Linked DNA regions of Caenorhabditis elegans. The protein of the gene in region 2 purifies or fractionates together with the protein of the main gene of each other region. This does not show direct contact. Each region holds a gene or a part of one and is shown on either strand. Other genes may lie near its edges.

The links.
Region 1: the proteins of col-149 (region 2) and B0524.6 fractionate together in Caenorhabditis elegans (co-fractionation; one large-scale study listed by BioGRID). This does not show direct contact.

Annotation. Positions count from the first base shown.
Region 1 is NC_003281.10:1,900,233-1,911,649, forward strand, and holds B0524.6 (HMG box domain-containing protein), read right to left. Parts: upstream 5,409-11,417; 5' UTR 5,404-5,408; coding exon 5,309-5,403; intron 5,265-5,308; coding exon 5,189-5,264; intron 5,140-5,188; coding exon 5,062-5,139; intron 4,990-5,061; coding exon 4,953-4,989; intron 4,907-4,952; coding exon 4,777-4,906; intron 4,279-4,776; exon of another isoform or gene 4,224-4,278; intron 2,793-4,223; coding exon 2,431-2,792; intron 1,821-2,430; coding exon 1,735-1,820; 3' UTR 542-1,734; downstream 1-541. Other genes in the region: Polyglutamine-repeat protein pqn-41, read left to right, coding at 5,735-5,779, 5,828-6,035, 6,109-6,690, 7,570-7,766, 7,955-8,089, 9,053-9,211, 10,047-10,298, 10,895-11,086.
Region 2 is NC_003283.11:10,289,536-10,297,355, forward strand, and holds col-149 (Nematode cuticle collagen N-terminal domain-containing protein), read right to left. Parts: upstream 3,335-7,820; 5' UTR 3,278-3,334; coding exon 3,161-3,277; intron 3,036-3,160; coding exon 2,259-3,035; 3' UTR 2,166-2,258; downstream 1-2,165. Other genes in the region: B0024.15 (Hexosyltransferase), read left to right, coding at 516-567, 951-1,146, 1,202-1,307, 1,352-1,686, 1,728-1,860, 1,940-2,152; col-150 (Nematode cuticle collagen N-terminal domain-containing protein), read right to left, coding at 4,099-4,875, 4,955-5,071.

The DNA.
Region 1 (11,417 bases), on a different chromosome or scaffold from region 2:
TTTTACCCCAAAACTCCATTTTTCAGAGCTTTACCACGTAAATTAAGGAATCTGTGCATTTTGTCGTGGGAGCCTCGGTGTTTGCGTACTTTTGGCGCTACCGTACCCCGGGAAATTCAAAATTCGAGCTAGAAGCGTGGGGAAAAGAGATTCTAGGCTAGAATTTCACGGAGAACTCGATTTTGAGCTTGAAATTCCCGTATTAACAAAGTTTTAATCTGAAAAACTTGAATTTCGGGCGCAATTATTAATTTTCCAAAATTTTCAGTGTGAAATTCGAGTTCCCCGTAATTTTTTACCCCAAAACTCAATTTGTCAGAGCCTAGCCACAAAAATTGAGGAAGTTGTGCATCTTTGCGTGGAGTTCTCGGTGTTTGCGTACTTTTGACGCTACAGTACCCGGAGAAACTCAAATTTTGAGCTAGAAGCCTGGGGAAAAGAGATTCTAGGCTAGAATTTCACGGAGAACTCGATTTTGAGCTCGAAACTTGCCGAAAACTAGCCGGAAAATCGATTTTCAGCAACAAAAAAAAAACCTCAAATTTGAATAAAAATTCAAATTTATTGGAATTTTTCCAAGCAGGAAAGCAGCAGTAATAGCGAGAAACAGACGAACAAAAAAAAACAGAAAAGTAACAAGAAAATCGATAAATCTATGGGAAAACGGGGGCGGTGATAACAAGTAAAACAGGGTGTGAAATTTCCGGGCGGTGTGTCCGAATTTATAACAGCGGTGGCTAGAAAACAATGAAAAAATCGAGGGTTTTTGGGTGAAAATTCTCTATAAAAATGTCTAAAATAACAGGCTGAAAACCGGCTGAAATTGTGTGAAAAATGAGAATTTTGCGATTTTTCAGCCGAAAAAATCGAAAAATTTCAGTTTTTCGAGTGAAAACTGACGATTTTAAGCTTTTTCAGGCTGAAAAACTGGTTGAAAATGGAATTTTCAGCGAGAAAGTGGGAAATTCGAGATTTTTCAGCTGAATTTTTGAGTGTTTAGTGAATTTTTCATCGAAAAATGTGTGGAATTCACGGAAAACACGTTCAAATTTCAGCTTTTTCAGCCGGAAAAATCGGATTTTCAGGTTAAAAACATTGCAAAAATTCAAATTTTCAGCTTTTCCCGCCAAAAATGGGCTGAAAATTCTCATTTTTCAACAATTTTCAGCGGTTTTTTTTTAACTTTTTCAGGTGGTGGAAGCGGTGTGATAACAAAAAGAAAATAGATTATTTTGGGGGTCCTACGATGAATTTTTAAGTCAAAAATTGAATCTTTAATTCAAAAATCGAATTTTTCAGTTAAAAATTGCAATTCTCATGTAAAAATCGAATTTTCAGTTAAAATTCAAATTTTTAAGTCAAAAATCGAATTTTTGGGTCAAAAATTCGAATTTTTTATAGTGAAAACTCGATTTTTTCAGTCAAAAATTGAAATTTTGGGTCTAAAATCGATTTTTCAGTTAAAATTCGATTTTTTGAGTAAAAAATCGAATTTTTAAGTCAAAAATAGATTTTTTCGGTTAAAATTCAATTTTTTGATCAAAAATCGATTTTTTCATGTAAAAATCGATTTTTCAGTTAAAATTCGATTTTTTGAAATTTTTTGGTCAAAAATTGAAATTCTCATGTAAAAGGCGAATTTTTCAGTCAAAAATCAAATTTTTCAGTTCAAATTCAAATTTTTAAGTCAAAAATTCGATTTTTTCAGGGGTTCTGTACATTTTCTGATAATTTCTATAATTCAAATCCGTAATTAAATTCTCGTATTGGCCGAATTCCTTCCACAATATTCGCGTATTCTGTCAGCATCGATAGATCTTCTGAAAATTGGGGAAATTTGTTGATTTTCAGCCAATTTTTATGATTTTTTTGTGATAAAAATCGATATTTATACTTTAAAATTGACTAAAAATCGATTTTCAAGTGAAAAATTTGAATTTTCTATGGGGAAATTTCATTTTTAGGCCATTTTTTGTTCTAAAAATCGATTTCCGGAATAAAAATTGGCTGAAAATTCGAATTTTTTGAAAAAAACTTGAAGATTTTATGGGAAAATTCGCAAATTTTAGGCATTTTTAGGCAAAAATCCAGTCTTTCCAGCTTTTTCTGGTGAAAATTGCTCGAAAAGTCGATTTTTAAGCTCAAAAATGAAATTTCCCGCATTTTTTGCTCAGAAATTCAAATTTTTCGCTAAAAATCAAGTTTTTAGACTAAAAAATCGAATTTTTCAGGTTTTTGAACTGATAAAACCTGATTTTTAAGCTCAAAAAAAATTTTTTTAGGTCGAAAATCAGAAAATTATTCTATTTCAGGTGCTTTTAGAGCTGAAAATATGGAATTTTCAGCTCAAAAATTCGATTTTTATTCAATTTTTCGTTTTTTTAGGGTCAAAAATGCAATTTTTCTCGCTTTTTTCGCCTAAAAACCTACCAAAATCAGCCAAAAGCGTCATTTGTGACAGTGTCTGATAGTACATTTTACACGCTTCACTGTAACTTATTACAGGAGACTGTGGTGGTGGTGGAGCAATTGGCTCCAAAACCATTGGTTCAACCGGTTCAATTGATTTTTTAACGGGATTTCGTCCTTTTTCCGCCGAATTTTGTGGTTTTTGGGCACATTTTATCGGTTTTACGACGATTCTGGCGTGTTTTTGGGGTTTTCGAAGGTGTTGGACGGTTTTTTGAACCATTTCCTCGATTTTTATGGGAATTGGCGGTGGTTTTGATGTCGGAAGTGAGATTTTTGGCTCTGCTGCGGTGGGTGGAAGTCGTGATGGAAGTGTTGGAGGGCTGAAAAATCCTTTTTTTTCAATTTTTTGTGAAAATTTTGCAGTTTTAGAGTGAAAAATCATCATTTTTTGCGCTTTTTAAGCTCAAAATTCGGATTTAGAAGCGTTTTTTAGGCATTTTTCGCGAAATTCTGCATTTTTCCGTAAGATCCGCGGTGTTTGCGTACTTCTGGAGCTACCGTAACCCGAAAAGTTCAAATTTCGAGCTAGAAGCCCGGCGAAAAGAGGTTTTAGGGTAAAAAACCATGAAAAAATCGAAGTTCATAATGAAAATTTTCAAAAATCGGGTTAAAAAAAATTTGGGCAAGTTTTTGACTGAAAATTGAAAATTTGGGCATAGCTTCCGCATCTCCGAGTGACAAATGTGCTCTATTGTCAAATTGTTGGCAGAAATACGGTATTTATTCACATTTTCAGCCAATTTAAGGCAGAAAATGTGAATAAGTACCCGTTTTTATGCCAACAATACGAGTAGAAACACACAAGTCACAGGGGAAATATATCGATTTCTAGTAGATTTTACGGATTTAAATTGAAAATTTTGCAATTTTCAAGTAAAAATCCAAAAAAATCGCTACAAAATGGCTAGAAACGATCATTTTCAGATTGGTGACCTAGAAATGTCAAAAGTTAGACCATCAATCTATTTTGTGCAAAAAAAGCAATTTCTATGGGTAAAAATGAGTGAAAAACTCAATTTTTAACTGAAAATTCGAGAAAAATCGATAGAAATGGCAAGTTTTCCGGGAAAAATTGCAAAATTTGGGCATAGCTTCCGCATCTCCGAGTGACAAATGTGCTCTATTGTCAAATTGTTTGCAGCAATACGGTAATTATTCACATTTTCAGGCAAATTTAAGGCTGAAAATGTGAATAAATACCCGTTTTTATGCCATCAATACGAGTAGAAACACACAAGTCACTGAGAAAAAGTTAAAAAAAATTAAATTTTTGAAATATCTGCGGGGATTGAGGCATTTTTTACTGATTTTAAGCTCAAAATTCAGATTCAAAATAATTTTTTACCCCTATCCAGCCATTTTTCGTAAGATCTGTAGTGTTTGCGTACTTCTGAGGCTGCCGTAACCCGAAAAGTTCAAATTTCGAGTTAGAAGCTTAGGAAAACGAGTTTTAATGGAAAAAAACTATGGAAAACTCGAATTTCGCACTGAAAAGTTTCAAAAGTCGGTTAAAATTGAAAAATTCGGATGGAAATTTGAATTTCCTGGAGAAAAGCCCGGCTTTTATCGGTTTTTGCTGAAAAATTTGAATTTCCGTACATTTTTTTTTTTAAATCCTCAAATTTTGAAAAAATGTCATTTTTTAATTTTTTCTGCGAGAATTGAGACATTCTTGCGCTTTTTAAGCTCAAAATTCGGATTTAGAAGCTTTTTTACACCAATTTAGACATTTTTCGCGAAATTCTGCATTTTGTCGTGAGATCCGCGGTGTTTGCGTACTTCTGGGGCTACCGTAACCCGGAAAATTCAAATTCCAAGCTAGAAGCCCGGCAAAAAGAGGTTTTAGGGTAAAAAACCACGGAAAATTCGAATTTCGCACTGCAAAGTTTCAAAAATCGGTTCAAAATGAAAATTTGGACATTAAATCTCGAAAATTAGTGAAAAATCACAAGTTTTCCGGAAAAATGAAAATTTGGGCATAGCTTCCGCATCTCCGAGTGACAAATGTGCTCTTTTGTCAAATTGTTGGCAGAAATACGGTATTTTTTGCATTTTCAATCTTAAATTGGCTAATTTAAGGTTGAAAATGCAAAAAATACAGTTTTTCAACTATCAATAAGAGTAGAACACAGAAGTCACTGAGAAACTGTTAGGAAATTACATTTTTAGAAAAATTTTGGAAAAACAATTGAACTTTTTAGTAAGAAAAACCTAAAATTTGAGCAAATTTCTGCATTTTTAGGGCAGTTTTTGCAGAAAATTATGAATTTTCAGCCATTTTTCCGCGTTTTCGGTGCTCCGTACCCTTCCCGGGACGCCAAAATGAATCCCTCATTATGATATGCTTTAATTCGAATTTTCAATCTTTCTGCATATGAATTTGTCGGTGTTGTCGACGGTTTAATGTCCAAAACCTTTGCTATAGCGTTACAATCTGAAAATTTCCAGTTTTTCAGCGATTTTTCTCGTTGAAAATTTACTTTTACGAGTTTCCATCGACACTGCTGCTTGTTTTTGCTGAAATTTTCAATTTTCAATTTTTTTAGGGCTAAAAAATTTAAAAAAAAAATTTTTAATAAAAAAATTTACCGAAACATTCTCCTTTTCCCCATTTTTCATCATTTTCTCCCGCTGCGCCGGCGTCAGACCATTCCAAAGCTGCTCAATCTGAAATTTTTCAATTTTTAAATCAAAAATTCCCAAAAAAAATGCTCACTTTCAGCTCCAACTCCAGTGGAGGCAGATTTGCAAAGGTTTTTCGCATAACTTGGCGAAAAATTGCCATTTCATCACTGAAATTTCACAATTAACATGAGATTTCTATTTTTTAAATAACCTTGAAGTACTGGGAGCCGGCGGTGAAACCGATCCAGAATCATTTCGGGTCACTGAACTTCGTATTCGCATGGTTTTTACGGTTTCCGGACGCATTTTACCTGAATATAGTGATTTTTTGATTCAAAAATCGATGAATTTAGCGAAAAAATTGAAAAATTTGATAAAAATCCGGTAAAATTGGGCGAAAAACAAAAATTAAATGAAAAATAAAAATTTTTTGTTGTCACAACGACACTCCGAAATAACGGTGTTAACTAGGCGCGCGCCTTGTTTAGACCGTTATTTCGGAGTGTCGTTGTGACAATTTAAAATTTAATAATTTTTGTTTTTCTGTTTTTCTGTTTTTTTATGGTTTTTCATGGAAAAACATGGAAAATTTGTGATTTTTTTCAAATTTTTTGATTAAAAATCAATATTTCAGAAAATGAAGCCAAAAAAGCTGCAACAAGGGTCAGATTCGGCGCATACCGTGAGTTTTTACCAATTTACAGCCAGTTTTCACTCAAATACCTTGCAGAGTGACACCGAATCCACTAAAACGTGTGAAAAAACCGCGAAAAAGCTGCCAAAAACGCAGAAAAAGTTGCAAAAATCGAAGAAAACGGCGAAAAAGCGGAGGGATGAGGAATTCCGCATATTTTTCCCGCCACCACGAGTAAATCCGCCGATTAAGACGCCTTTTCGGCTTCATAACACGAATTGTGAGCACAGAGACTGGATTTCTGGTTGGTTTTTCGAGTTTTTACCGAAAAAATCCTCGAATTTTTGCCTCAAAATTAACGAAATTTCCACTTCCAGACAACCTCTGCCTTCCGAAATACGCTTCATATCAAACTGGATGGCGAATTTCGCATAAATCGATGAAATCGCTGGTTTTAATGGATAAAAGACGGGCGGAATGGCTCAAAATGCACAATTTGTACAGAAAATCCGAAATTCGCAAGGCTATTTGGACGATTGAACGAAAAGGAGCCAAAAAACTGGATGAAATGCCTGGAAATTGGAGAATTTCGCGAGAAAAAAGAAATTCTCTGGATTTACAAGAATTTCCCATCAAAATCGAGCAATTTCCAGTGAAAAAACGCGAAAAAACCGCAAAAAATTGGCGAAAAATCGCTGTTTTAGTGTGTTTCAAGCGGAAAACGACGACGAAAAATCGATATCTCCGCCGTCCAAAAACGAAAAACCAACGAAAAATCGAATTTCGCCGCCCGAAAACCTCGAAAAACCGAAAATTGCGGCTGAAAATTCGCCCGAGAGTTCGATTTATCGATCGAAAATTGATTCGAAGACGGGAATGCCTCGTGGATCCGCAGAATCTGATCTCGTGGATTCGGAGACAGGAAAAAGCGGAAAATTTGAGGATTTTCCAGGAAAAACGTACGATTTTAGGAGGAAAATGCGCGAAAAATTGGCTCGGAAATTCAAATTTTTAACTGATTTTTAAACTTTTTCAGTACCAAATTCGAATTTTTCGTGATTTTTTACCTTTCAAACTCGTCTTCCCAGGCTTCTAGCTCGAAATTTGAAATTTCCGGGTTACGGTAGCCCCAGAAGTACGCAAACACCGCAGAACTTACGACAAAATGCAGAAGTTTGCGAAAACTGCCTAGATAGGGGTAAAAAACACTTTTGAACTTGAATTTTGAGCTTAAAATTCAGAAAATTCACAAGAAAATGCCTCAATTCCCCCCCGCAGAAAATTCCAAAGTTGACTTTTTTCAAGTTTCTTGACTTTAATGCCATTTTTCGAGCTCAAAATCGAGTTCTCCGTGAAATTTTAGCTTAGGAACTCTTTCTCCCAGGCTTCTAGCTCGAAATTTGAATTTCCGGGGGTACTGTAGCCTCGGAAGACGCAAACACCGAGGGGCTTACGACAAAATGCACAATTTCCGTAAATTTCATGGCGGAGCTCTGAAAATAGTGCTCCGGGAGTAAAAATTTGCGTAAAATTCGAATTTCGTACTAAAAAACCTGTGAAAGTTAACATTTGCGGCGCAAATTTGAAATTTTGGGTTTCAGGCACTTTTTCAAAATTTTTAATCATCAAATTTGAAATTCCCATCATTTTTTACCCTGGAACGTCATTTTTATGGGCTTCTAGCTCAAAATTTGAATTTCCGGGGGTACTGTAGCCTCAGAAGTACGCAAACACCGAGCAACACGACGCAAAAATGCACAGATTCCTCATTTTTGGCTTCTGAGCTGTGAAAAATGGGTTTTCGGTGTAAAAAATCACGGAGAATTCGAATTTTTCAGAAAAACGACTCCAGGAGCAACAAGAAGACGCCGAATGGGAGCAAATTGAAGCTCAAAGAGCCAATTCTGATGACGTCATCGAGGATAAATCGCTGAAAATGGAAGTTTTGGACATTGTTAAGCATAAAAATCGAAATTGGATAGTTGTGGAGAAAAAAGGATGTGAAATTCAGGGAATGGAGTATTTATTAGTATTGGTAAGTGGGAAAAAATCTAAATTTTGACAATTTTCAGCCGAAAAAATCGATTTTTCAGTGAAATTGTGCTGAAAATGTTGAAAAAAATGGTCGAAAATTCGATTTTTGACGTTTTTTAGCCAAAAAACTTGCCAATTTTAACGATTTTTGGCAATTTTCAGCCGAAAAAATCGATTTTTTTATTGCAGGAATCCGAATTCAATGAGCAACAAACCGTCCGTTATGACCGCCAAAATGTGGATCACAAATTTCGAAAAATGCGTGATGAAAAGAAGGAAATTGTGGAATTTGTGTCGAGTTTACCGTTTTATAAGCCCAAACCGGTGCGCGGTTTTGTGTGTGGAAATTTGGAGGATTTTTCACCTAAAAATTCGGAATTTTCACAATTTTTACCCCAAAAAATCTCAAAATATTCACTTTTTAACCTTTAGAAATTGAAAAAAATTTTACCATTTTTCACCTGAAAATCTCAAAATTTTGAGATTTTTGGTTCCAAAAACCAAAAAAAGTCACATTTTTCTACCTGAAAATTGCCAAATTTCACTATTTCCCCCCCCCCCCCCCCCCCCCCCCCCCCCCCCAGAAAAATCCGAATTTCCTTGATTTTTCACCTAAAAATTTGGACTTTTCAAGATTTTTCACTGAAAAAATGCAAAATTTTACGTTTTTTTGTTGAAAAAACCAAAAAAGTCACATTTTTCTACCTGAAAATATGAAAATATTGCATTTTTCGCTGTGAAAATTGGAAAATTTCAAGATTTTTCACCTGAAAAATCAGAATTTTCACAATTTTTCACTGAAAAAACGCGAAATTTTGCGATTTTTTTGTTGAAAAAACCAAAAAAGTCACATTTTTCTACCTAAAAATTTGAAAATATTGCATTTTTCTCTGTGAAAATAGCCAAATTTCACGATTTTTCACCTAAAAATTTGGACTTTTCACAATTTTTCACTGAAAAATCTTAAAATTCGCGATTTTTCACTGGAAACTCGCTAAATTTCAAGATTTTCCACCTGATAATTGCAAAATTTTCACATTTTCCCCCAGAAAAATCAGAATTTTCATGATTTTTTACTGGAAAATGCGAAATTTTACGATTTTTTTTGTTGAAAAAACCAAAAAAGTCACATTTTTCTACCTGAAAATTGCCAAATTTTCACATTTTCTAGTAGAAAATCTACAAATTTTGCAATTTTTAACCTAAAAATTCGAAAAAATCCCACTTTTTCGTCCTAAAAATTACCAAATTTCCCAATTTTCACCTAAAAACTCACGAAATTTTCAGCCAAAAATCAATTATCCAACGAATGCCGGGGAATATGAAGAGCAAGAGATTGAGCTTGAACGTCGACGGCTTGAAGAGGAAGAAAGAGATCAAAATGATAAGAAATTGGAGATTGAAGACCGAAATCACTTTAAAAAATGGCAAAAACGCCGGAATTTGGTGCGGAAAATTGCAAATTTTTGGCAAAAAAAAACCACTTTTTCTCGTAAAAATGGTCATTTTTCCAGTTAAAAATCTGAAATTTTCGGATTTTTCGGTGGAAAAATTCAATTTTTCTCGGTTTTTACAATAAAAAATCCAAATTTTTCGAATTTTTTCAGTTAAAAATTTGAAATTTTCAGATTTTTTCCTGAAAAAATTCAATTTTTCTCGGTTTTTACAATAAAAAATCCAAAATTTTCGAATTTTTCGCTGGAAAAATTGAAATTTTCAGGTTTTTGGCCGGAAAAATCCAAAATTTCTCTGTTTTTTCCAGTTAAAAATTTCAAAATTTCAGATTTTTGGCCGGAAAAATTCAAATTTCCACATTTTTTCGGTTAAAAACCTAAAATTTTCAAATTTTTCGTTGAAAAAATCCAAAATTTCAGATTTTCCACTGGAAAATTTCAGTTTTTCTCTGTTTTTTTTTTCAGTTAAAAATCGAAAATTTTCGAATTTTTTCGCTGGAAAAATTGAAATTTTCAGGTTTTTGGCCGGAAAAATCCAAAATTTCTCTGTTTTTTCCAGGTAAAAATTTAAAATTTTCAGATTTTTGGCCGGAAAAATTCAAATTTCCACATTTTTTCGGTTAAAATCCTAAAATTTTCAAATTTTTCGTTGAAAAAAGCCAAAATTTCAGATTTTCCACTGAAAAAGACAAATTTTAATCTGTTTTTCCAGTTAAAAATCGAAAATTCTCACATTTTTCGCCGAAAAATTCAAATTTTCTCGGTTTTTTCCGTTGAAACTCTAAAATTTCCTCAAATTTTTCTTTTTAAAAATTCAATTTTTCCAGATAAAAATCTACCGAAACTCGATTCGCCGTGAAATTTGGCGGCGCCGGAGAGGAAGAAATTCCACTGAAAATTCCGATTCGGAGAGCTCATCAGAAGCCTCGGAGCCGCCCGATGACGTCATCACAAAGGAAGAGCCGACGGATTTTTCAGAGGAGAATTTAGTGAAAAAAGAGGAAATTTGCGATGATTTTGAGCACAAAATTGAGGAGGATGTGAAACCTGATGTATATAAACTAAATATTAATAAAATGGTACGGAAAATTCGATTTTTCGAGTGAAAATTTGGGAAAAACGCCGATTTTTGACACAAAAATCGGGAAAGTTGGCGAAAAATTAATGAAAATCGGGTATTTTTGACCTATAAACATGGAAATTTCACTGTGGAAAACCCCTAAAAATGGCTTAAAATTAAGAATTTTTATCGAAAAATCGAAATTTTGTCAGAAAAATGCCAAAAAAATGTAAATTTCGGCGAAAAAAACCCGAAATGGAGTGAAAATTTCAATAAAAAATTCAATTTTTCGCCTAAAAAACTTGGAATTTACACGAAAAATTAGTGGTTTTTGGGTAAAATTTGCTGAAAAATTCGAATTTTTGATCGGAAAATTGGCAAAAATCGCCAATTTTTTAGCGTAAAATCCAGAAAATGACGGAAAGTTGGAAATTTCAATCAAAAAATTCACAAAAATCGGGTATTTTTCACCCATAAACATTTAAATTTCACTGCAAAAACCCCAAAAAATGACTTAAAATTGGGAATTTCTATTGAAAAATCCCAAATTTTGTCAGAAAAATGCCAGAAAACCATTTTAACGTAAAATTTACTGAAATTTTGAATTTTTTTCAGATCTCACCACCGTCGCCACCACCGAAAAAAGGCATTCTACTGAAAAAAGATACGAAAAAACGCGGCGAAAAACGCGTCAAAACTGTACAATTTAAACTAACAAAACGCCAAAAACTGGCAAAACTCTGGAAACCGCCAACTTGGCAAATTCGGCAGATTTTACGGGCCGCAGCTGATGCCAAAGGGTATAAGGTACTGAAAAATCGGCAAAATTTGACCCTAAAATGTGGAATTTTGGCAAGAAATCGATGATTTTTTAAGCGAAAATTTTTAAGCAAAATTTCGAAATTTTCAGTGCGAAATTCGAATTCTTCGTGCTTTTTTACCCTAAACCCCGCTATTTTTCGGGCTTCTAGCTTGAAATTTGAATTTTCCGGGTTACGGTAGCCTCAAAAGTACGCAAACACCGAGCAACCCGACGCAAAAATGCACAATCTCTGTAAATTTCATGGCGGAGCTCTAAAAATAGGTTATCAAGGGTAGAAATCCGCGAAAAATTCGAATTTCATACTAAGAAATCTGT
Region 2 (7,820 bases):
ATTAAACCACTTTTTCTCCAATTGTAATTTAGTTCCTAGAAGAGCTGTAAAAACTTGACTATTTCAAAAATTCTAAATTAAGTTAACTTATATGGCTCCGTTTTCAGATATACTTTTTTAAACCACATGAATAAATGCCGAATAATTCTTCTACATAGAAGTTCATATAGCCTTTCTACTGAATACATAGTTACACTTTTTCCGGATATTAAGTTTATTTGCAAATTTTGGTATCCAAACAAACACATTCGTTTTCTCTTTCCGTCTCTTCTTTGCTAAATCTCTGACACACGTCTTCAGGTGCGAAGAAGTCTGCTTTTTCTTTGCGCACAATTCCCCCGTGTGTATCCCACGACAACGTCCTTTTTCTTAGAGCTTCTCATTCTTTTCTTGGTTTTCAATAGGTGATGTATGATACATTGACCAATAAAGCATGAGAACTATTTCAAGATTTCCAAAATTGTGTTCTTACAGTTTTTTTTGTAAAACAAAAGGTATTTATTTCAGATTCATGCATGAATCTTTGTCGAAAACTCTGGAAATATCTACTCGGTCTAATTATTTTATGTAAGTTGTGGAAGTTATTTTCAGAACATTTTAAATATTATTAAAACATTCAAAACCAATATTTGAGTTTTTGTCTGTTTTTTGAAACTTGGAATTTTGACGATAAGCATTCACGAGTAATGTTCTACTATCATTTTGTACTGTTTATTTACTATTTATTAGATTTTGAGACATTTAATGATAAAAACATTGTGATGTATGTATGTTATTGAAATTTTCAGACTATTGTACTCTGGAGTGTACAGACTGTTGATTTTTTTTGGCAAGACCATTAAAAGAAACACTCCAATAAAAATATTATTTGCATATAAACTTTATCTAACTACCACACCAAGTCAAATATTTAACACTTTCATCAAGTTGGTTGATTTTCATTTTTTCAGACGTTACAGTCTTTCTGAATCTCGATCGAATTCGCTCTTATTCAACAGATGCTCCTATATTTGAAGTGACAAACTCTTTTTCTTCAAAATCTCATTTATCTAAAGATGGGTCAACTAATCAGTTTTACCATGCTCAGTTTAAAGACCAAAATCATACTTATCAGTTCATCACAGTGCCAAAGAAACAGTGCTCTAAGTAAGAAAAGAAAATTAAAAATATAAGTTTTTATGATATCTTAAAATTGTTGCAGTAACACAAAACTTCAAATCACAATTCTTTCAACTGCCGGAAACTTTGATATTCGGCAAGCAATTCGAGAGACATGGGCTAATCCAAATAATTCGGAACATGTCGCTGTATGTTGTCTCTATTTTCTATAATTTTAAAATATTTTTTTCAGAACAATGATGTTAGAATTTCATTTATTATTTCAAAAACAAGCAATGAATTTTTAAATTTTGCTCTTCAAAAAGAAATTGAAAAATTTGACGATATGATTGTAACGGATTTATATGAATCTTATGAACTTTTGATATTAAAAGTTCATGCCATATTAAGCTATAAACAGAGTCACTGTCAACTGGCGGACTTTCAATTGAAAATTGATGATGATATGGCAGTCGATATGGATGGATTATACAGAAGTCTTGAAGATAAGAAACAAGCAAGTATTAACGGAATTAGTGGAATTATTTGGAAAAATTCACCACCAGTGAGAGAAAAAAAACATAGATGGTAGGAAATAAAACATAACAATAGAAATTTCAATATTACAGGTATGTACCAAAAACTCTTTATTCTGAGAAGTTTTTCCCTCCATATATTGATGGCCCAATTTATTTAATCGGAAAAAATGCAGTTCCACGAATGTTGGAGGAAGCTAAGAACTATAATCAATGGATCATTGAGGTATTTTCTGCGATTTTATGATACTAAAAGCCGTTTGAATTCTTAATTTTATTATTAGTTTTAAATTGATTTGTTTCAGGATGTCTTCTGGACTGGAGTTATTGGCAAAGCTTTAAAAATTAAACAAATCAACTGGGCTAATCATCTTCTTCGTTATGTTATTGAGCTCATTCCATCTCGACTCAAATGCTCAAAAGGAGGAGTTCCTTTGATCTACGCAGTTCATAATATGAAAGGTCCGCAAATGATTCATGACGGGTATCAAAAACTGAAGGGTGTTAAGTGTAAATGAACAAATTCAGGGAAAATAAAACATTTTATTTTTGTTCTTATTATGATCAGAGCATTGTCTGAATTTCTTATTATTGCAGAAAATTGATTGAAGAAGTTAATAATATCTAGTGTCGCTTGAGAAACATGACTGAACGAGTTGGACAAGCGCAATAGGCAGCATCAGATCCTTGAAGACCTGGATTTCCTGGAGCTCCTGGATGACCATCGGATCCTCGGTTTCCTGGTTGACCTGATCTTCCAGCTGGTCCACATGGTCCACTTGGTCCTCTCTCTCCTGGTCTTCCTGGGTTTCCAGGTGCTCCTTGACGTCCTGGTTGTCCAGCTCTTCCTGGTGCTCCTGGAGATCCGTGTCCGCGACGCCCATCCTTTCCTGGATGTCCTGGTTGTCCTGGATTTCCATCTCTTCCTGGTTGTCCAGCATTTCCTTGTGGTCCTGGTTGTCCTGGTCTTCCATCATTTCCTCGTCTTCCTGGTTGTCCTGGACGTCCGTCTGGACCCGGTCTTCCAACCTGTCCGCATGTACCGGATGGTCCTGGTGGTCCGGCCGGGCATTTAATACAGTCTTGATTACGCGGTGGACAGGCGGGAGCACGAATTGTGTTATAATTATCTTGTCCATTGCGTCCTGGAATTCCTGGAATTCCTCTCTGTCCTGGATGCCCTGGTGGTCCTGGTGGTCCTCGTGGACATTTTGGCTTTGTTGGCTCACATTGGCACCAAGCTGGGAGACCTGAGAAAGTTGAACGACGTTTTTGGCGGAAGACGGAGTTGAATGGATTTTCCTTTGGCTGAGATGGTGGGGAGACCATGACTTGAACATCGAGCATCTCAACCCAGGCAGCATCAGTGTCGGCGCGGAACATCTTCACACCATCAAGAACCTGAAAATAAATTATTATATTTCACAGAAGTATAAATAACATTTAGTTAATATTTTCTGATCCATCTTTTGAGGAAAAATATTATTTCGAAAATGTAAATTAGAAAACAATATTAAAATGCAAACCTCGTCATGCATCTCATTAATAGTAGAGTAGAGTCCTGGAATGACAACAACACATGTCAAAATGGCAATAGTAGATGCCAAAGAGGCAATACCAACCAGAAGCTTCTCCTCAAACATTTTAGCTCAGTCCGAACGTCTTCTCCTTGAAAGGGAAGTCGATGTGGATGATGAATTTTCAAACCCTTCATCCTTCACTTAAATACTTTTCCGGAGAAGGTCGCCGCACCAGGCGCAAAATGGGCGGGGCATCTGTATCCCCATCTTTTTTACTTTTATCATCTAAAGTTTCTGTTCTCTTTCTTCTCTCTTTCTCGCTCCTGCAATTTAGTTTTGCACCCGTAAACGTAAACGTTTTTCTTTCCGTTTCTGACCTAATTGGTAACTCCTCGCGCCAACCGCGCCTTGACCATTTTGATAGGAGAAATTGATAAGAAAAGGTGAAATAAAGAAAATGAGATGATATGAAAAAAAGGGAACGCTTTTTTTGCCCTTTACGATGACACAATGACCGCTTTCTCTTTCTCGGAGAAGAACATCCAATTGCGGAATAAGAGTGTGAGAGTAGAACTATTCAACCTGTTTTTGCCAAATGTTTAGTTGGTTTTTTCGATAGTAGGAAACAATTTTCAAAACTTTCAGATAGAGACGTTGAAACTTTTCGACGTGGTACTGTGAAACTGATGTGGTACTTGAAAATAACCGTTTCATTGGTGAACTAGTACACATTTTCAAGAGGTTACATCACTTCAAGGCATATTGAAACTTAGTTACTCTTCTCAATTGTAATTCGAGAATTGTCTGCCGAGTCTCTAATTTTCTTAACATGATGAATATTCATAGGTCTTGTTCGATGGAAAAATATTCAAAAACGGTGCATAAAAGTTTATTTTTGTTGTTGTGGAGTGAAAAAAGAAAATAAAAACCTTAAAATCCAACTTCTAATGCCTTGCTTTGACAAACACTGACGATCTTGGTGGGCATGCACAATATGCAGCATCTGGTCCTGGAAGGCCTCTACCTCCTGGAGTACCTGGATGTCCATCGGATCCTCTGTTTCCTGGTTGCCCTGGTCTTCCTCCTGGTCCTGGTTGACCATCTTGTCCTCTTTCTCCTTTTCTTCCTGGATTTCCTGCACTTCCTTGCTTTCCTGGTTGTCCTGGTCTTCCAGCTGTTCCTGGATGCCCACGTCCCTTTCTTCCGTCTTTTCCTGGATTTCCTGGTTGCCCGGGTTCTCCGTCTCTTCCAGGATGTCCAGCATTTCCTTGTGGTGCCGGTTGACCTGGTCTACCATTATTTCCTTTTCTTCCAGGTTGTCCTGGACGTCCATCTGGACCTGGTCTTCCTGCTTGTCCAATTGAACCTGTTGGGCCTGCTGGTCCTCGTGGGCATTTAACACATCCTGGTTGTTGTCGTGGACATTGAATTGGAGCATGCACCTGATGATTGTCCTGTCCACGGGGTCCTGGTGATCCAGAAGTTCCACGTTGTCCTGGACGACCTGGAGGTCCTGGTGGTCCCCGTGGACAACGTGGCTTCGCCGGCTCACATTGACACCAAGATGGTAATCCCGAAAATGTTTGACGCTTTTGACGGAAGACAGAGTTAAATGGATTTTCCTTAGGCTTTGATGGTGGAGATACCATTACTTGAACATCGAGCATCTCAACCCAGGCAGCATCCGTTTCTGCGCGGAAAATCTTCACACCATCCAAAACCTGAATGGAAACATGAGTAAGGTTTAATTTTAAATGAGAAAATAATGATTTTTTGTCATTAAATTTAACTAAATCATACTTCTTCATGGACTTCATTGATAGTGCTATAGAGTGATGGAATAACCACAAGACAGACGATAACGGCAACAGTAGATGCCAATGAGGCTATTCCAACTAGGAGCTTTTCTTCAAACATCGTCAGATGTGTTGTGCCTTCTGAACATCTGACATTCTCTTTTATACTCATCGACGGAAGGTCAATTTCTGCCATGCCAACAGCCATTAACGATGGGCGGTACCACCCAGAAGAACAGCCGGTGGTTGAAGGAGGGCATCATGTTTTTTGTCTGCCGGATGGTTTTGGTAGAAATAAAAAAATGAAGGAAGTATCGAATGCGATTAAGGAAGTTACTTACTGGAAATAACGAAAAAATCGGAGAAAATCACAGCGGTGTGCAGTTAAGTAATGCGATTTCGTTTTGTTTACTGGTTTGATTGACTTATGTCTTGTTCATAGTTTAAATTTGAAACTACTTTTTTAATAATTGTTACTGATGTTTTCAAATTTTTGAATCCCTAGATGTTGTTTCTAAAATTATAAAATAAAGTTAGATGCCTTCAATGATCAAATAGTTAAATTTACTCCTTTGGTTATTGTACCTAAACAAGTTTTACAAATTTGCAAATTTATAAATAATTAGCAGTTCTGATTTAATTTTTAAAATGTCACTTTTCATAAAGCCTATTTTCACTTCAGTTTTAAGTATGTAGCTCACTGTCAGTTGACAGTTCCGAGTTTAGACCAAGAAAAACCACGATAATAAGCTTTGAACTTTGAGAGATTTTACAGAAAACAACAAAACAATTGAATTTACGGAAACATGTTTTCTCTCAAATTAACGCATTTTCTACTTTCAGACTACACCAAACAAACATCTTAATTTTCAAGAAAAAAATTTCCGACGACACATAGCCATGATATTGTGATGGGATTTATTATAACGATTATCTCAATGATATCTTCTTATTTATGTGTATTTTTTGCCCGGTAACACAAAAACAAATTTATTTCCACCGCATGATTTCCTTCTCATCTTGATTCCCAAAACTTCCCTCTATTACTCTCCTCCTCGACAATTTGTCCTTGACCGATCCGTTTGAAATCCCAAGGAATTGTTACTTTTTCGGAAGCTGTTATAGAAGATTTAGATATGAGATACTGAGAAATGAATTCTATAGAATCGGTTGGAACCTGGAACCATCGGAAATTCACCAGGATGGAACGGAATCTTTCTTTTTAGCCATGTTATTATTTTGGTTGGAACCGGAAACAGGAAGAAGCTGCAAAAGTGTAATGTTATACTAGTTGATTACAAAGTACTGATCATGATAAAATTGTGTTCCTTTGTTCAATTTAACTGTAATTTATGTCGTGATTATCGCACCTTTCAAACTTTGTTACAAAATCTACAGAAATAGAAAAACACTTCGGAGCTCTCATAATCCAATTATTGTGATCTTTTTCAGTTTCCAAACCAATGTAAAATATATTAACTTCTCTTAAATCAATTAAAATAAATAAATAAATTTTACTGCAAAAATTCTTCTTCTTCTGGACGTTGACTTCATCGAAAAATGTAAGCGACAAATTGGGTGTTAATATGCATTCTAAGTTGTTTTACTGAATGCTATGTAGTTAGTATTTTAACACTTTCGTCAGTTGGGTATTTTCGTTAATCATTTTTCGTTGAATTTCCAAATGAAGGGTAAGGTAATATTTGACTGAAGTTTTCATTTTCCTGATTACATTCACAGTAAATCTAACAATGGAATGAATTCACCAAACTGTTACTAATAGGTTTAGCTTTTACACGAATACTTCTAATTTCTAAGTAATTTCTTGAATATAATACCTGTAATTAAAGCTACCTAACCACGCAAACTTCAAGGAATCGACCTCGACCATCACAATGAAAAATTGACAAACCTAGGTGCTATTTCAAAAGTCGATTGATGTGATTTACGATGTCTGGAGACTCTTCTACCTCTGATAATCAAATTAGGAGAAGGAACGTCGAATGGCTTTCAAGGTCTTTACGAATTCTGATTTTTGATTACATGGTATATATCTTTTTGGCAGTTTCTGTAATCTATTAAAACTTTAACAATTTATCCGACCAGAGTATCAAAAAGCGACTTTCAACAGATATCGGAGATATCTGCAGATTTGCAAATCTCGGTTCAACTTCAATATCTATTCTTTTCCGTTTTTGTAACGTCAAAATCCGTGTCGTGACGTCATCATAATCTGGGAGGTTTCCGTCGAGACAAAACTGGTTTTAATAAATACAAAGGAACGGAAGCAGGAGAAGAAGATGGAAAAGAAGGGGTGCAAGGTTATTTATGCGGTGGAAATGACACGGGAAAGGTGGCAAAATGTAATACATGGGAACTTTGATTGGCATACAATGGTAGACAACTTTAATTATAGATAATGGCTTTTAGAAACAATAAAAAATAACAAAGAAGAATAGTATAAGAGCAATTATAGAAAAATCATGGATTTTATGAGATACTGTTCTTGTTGCAGTGACTAACCCAAAATATTAAAAAATTGAAGCTACTGTATCTGTTTTTAATATGTATTCTTCTCGTTGGAGCTTAGAAATTTTGGCATGAACCTCAATTTTCGCAAAAGATATAAGATAGGCTTTGATTGCCTTTGCACCAGGCAGACATGTTTTGTTTAAGTGAATGCTTTTTAAGCTTCTCTTAAACACCATTCGTTTTAGACACTATCTATGTTGGAGTCATAATCTGTTGCAAATTGAAATGGGTTTTTTCTATAATTGTGAATCATCATTCTGATTCACCAGCTTTGTGATTATACCTTTCTTATCACTATTATCACTCCCATTTACACTCCTCCTCGATTTCTCAATGTT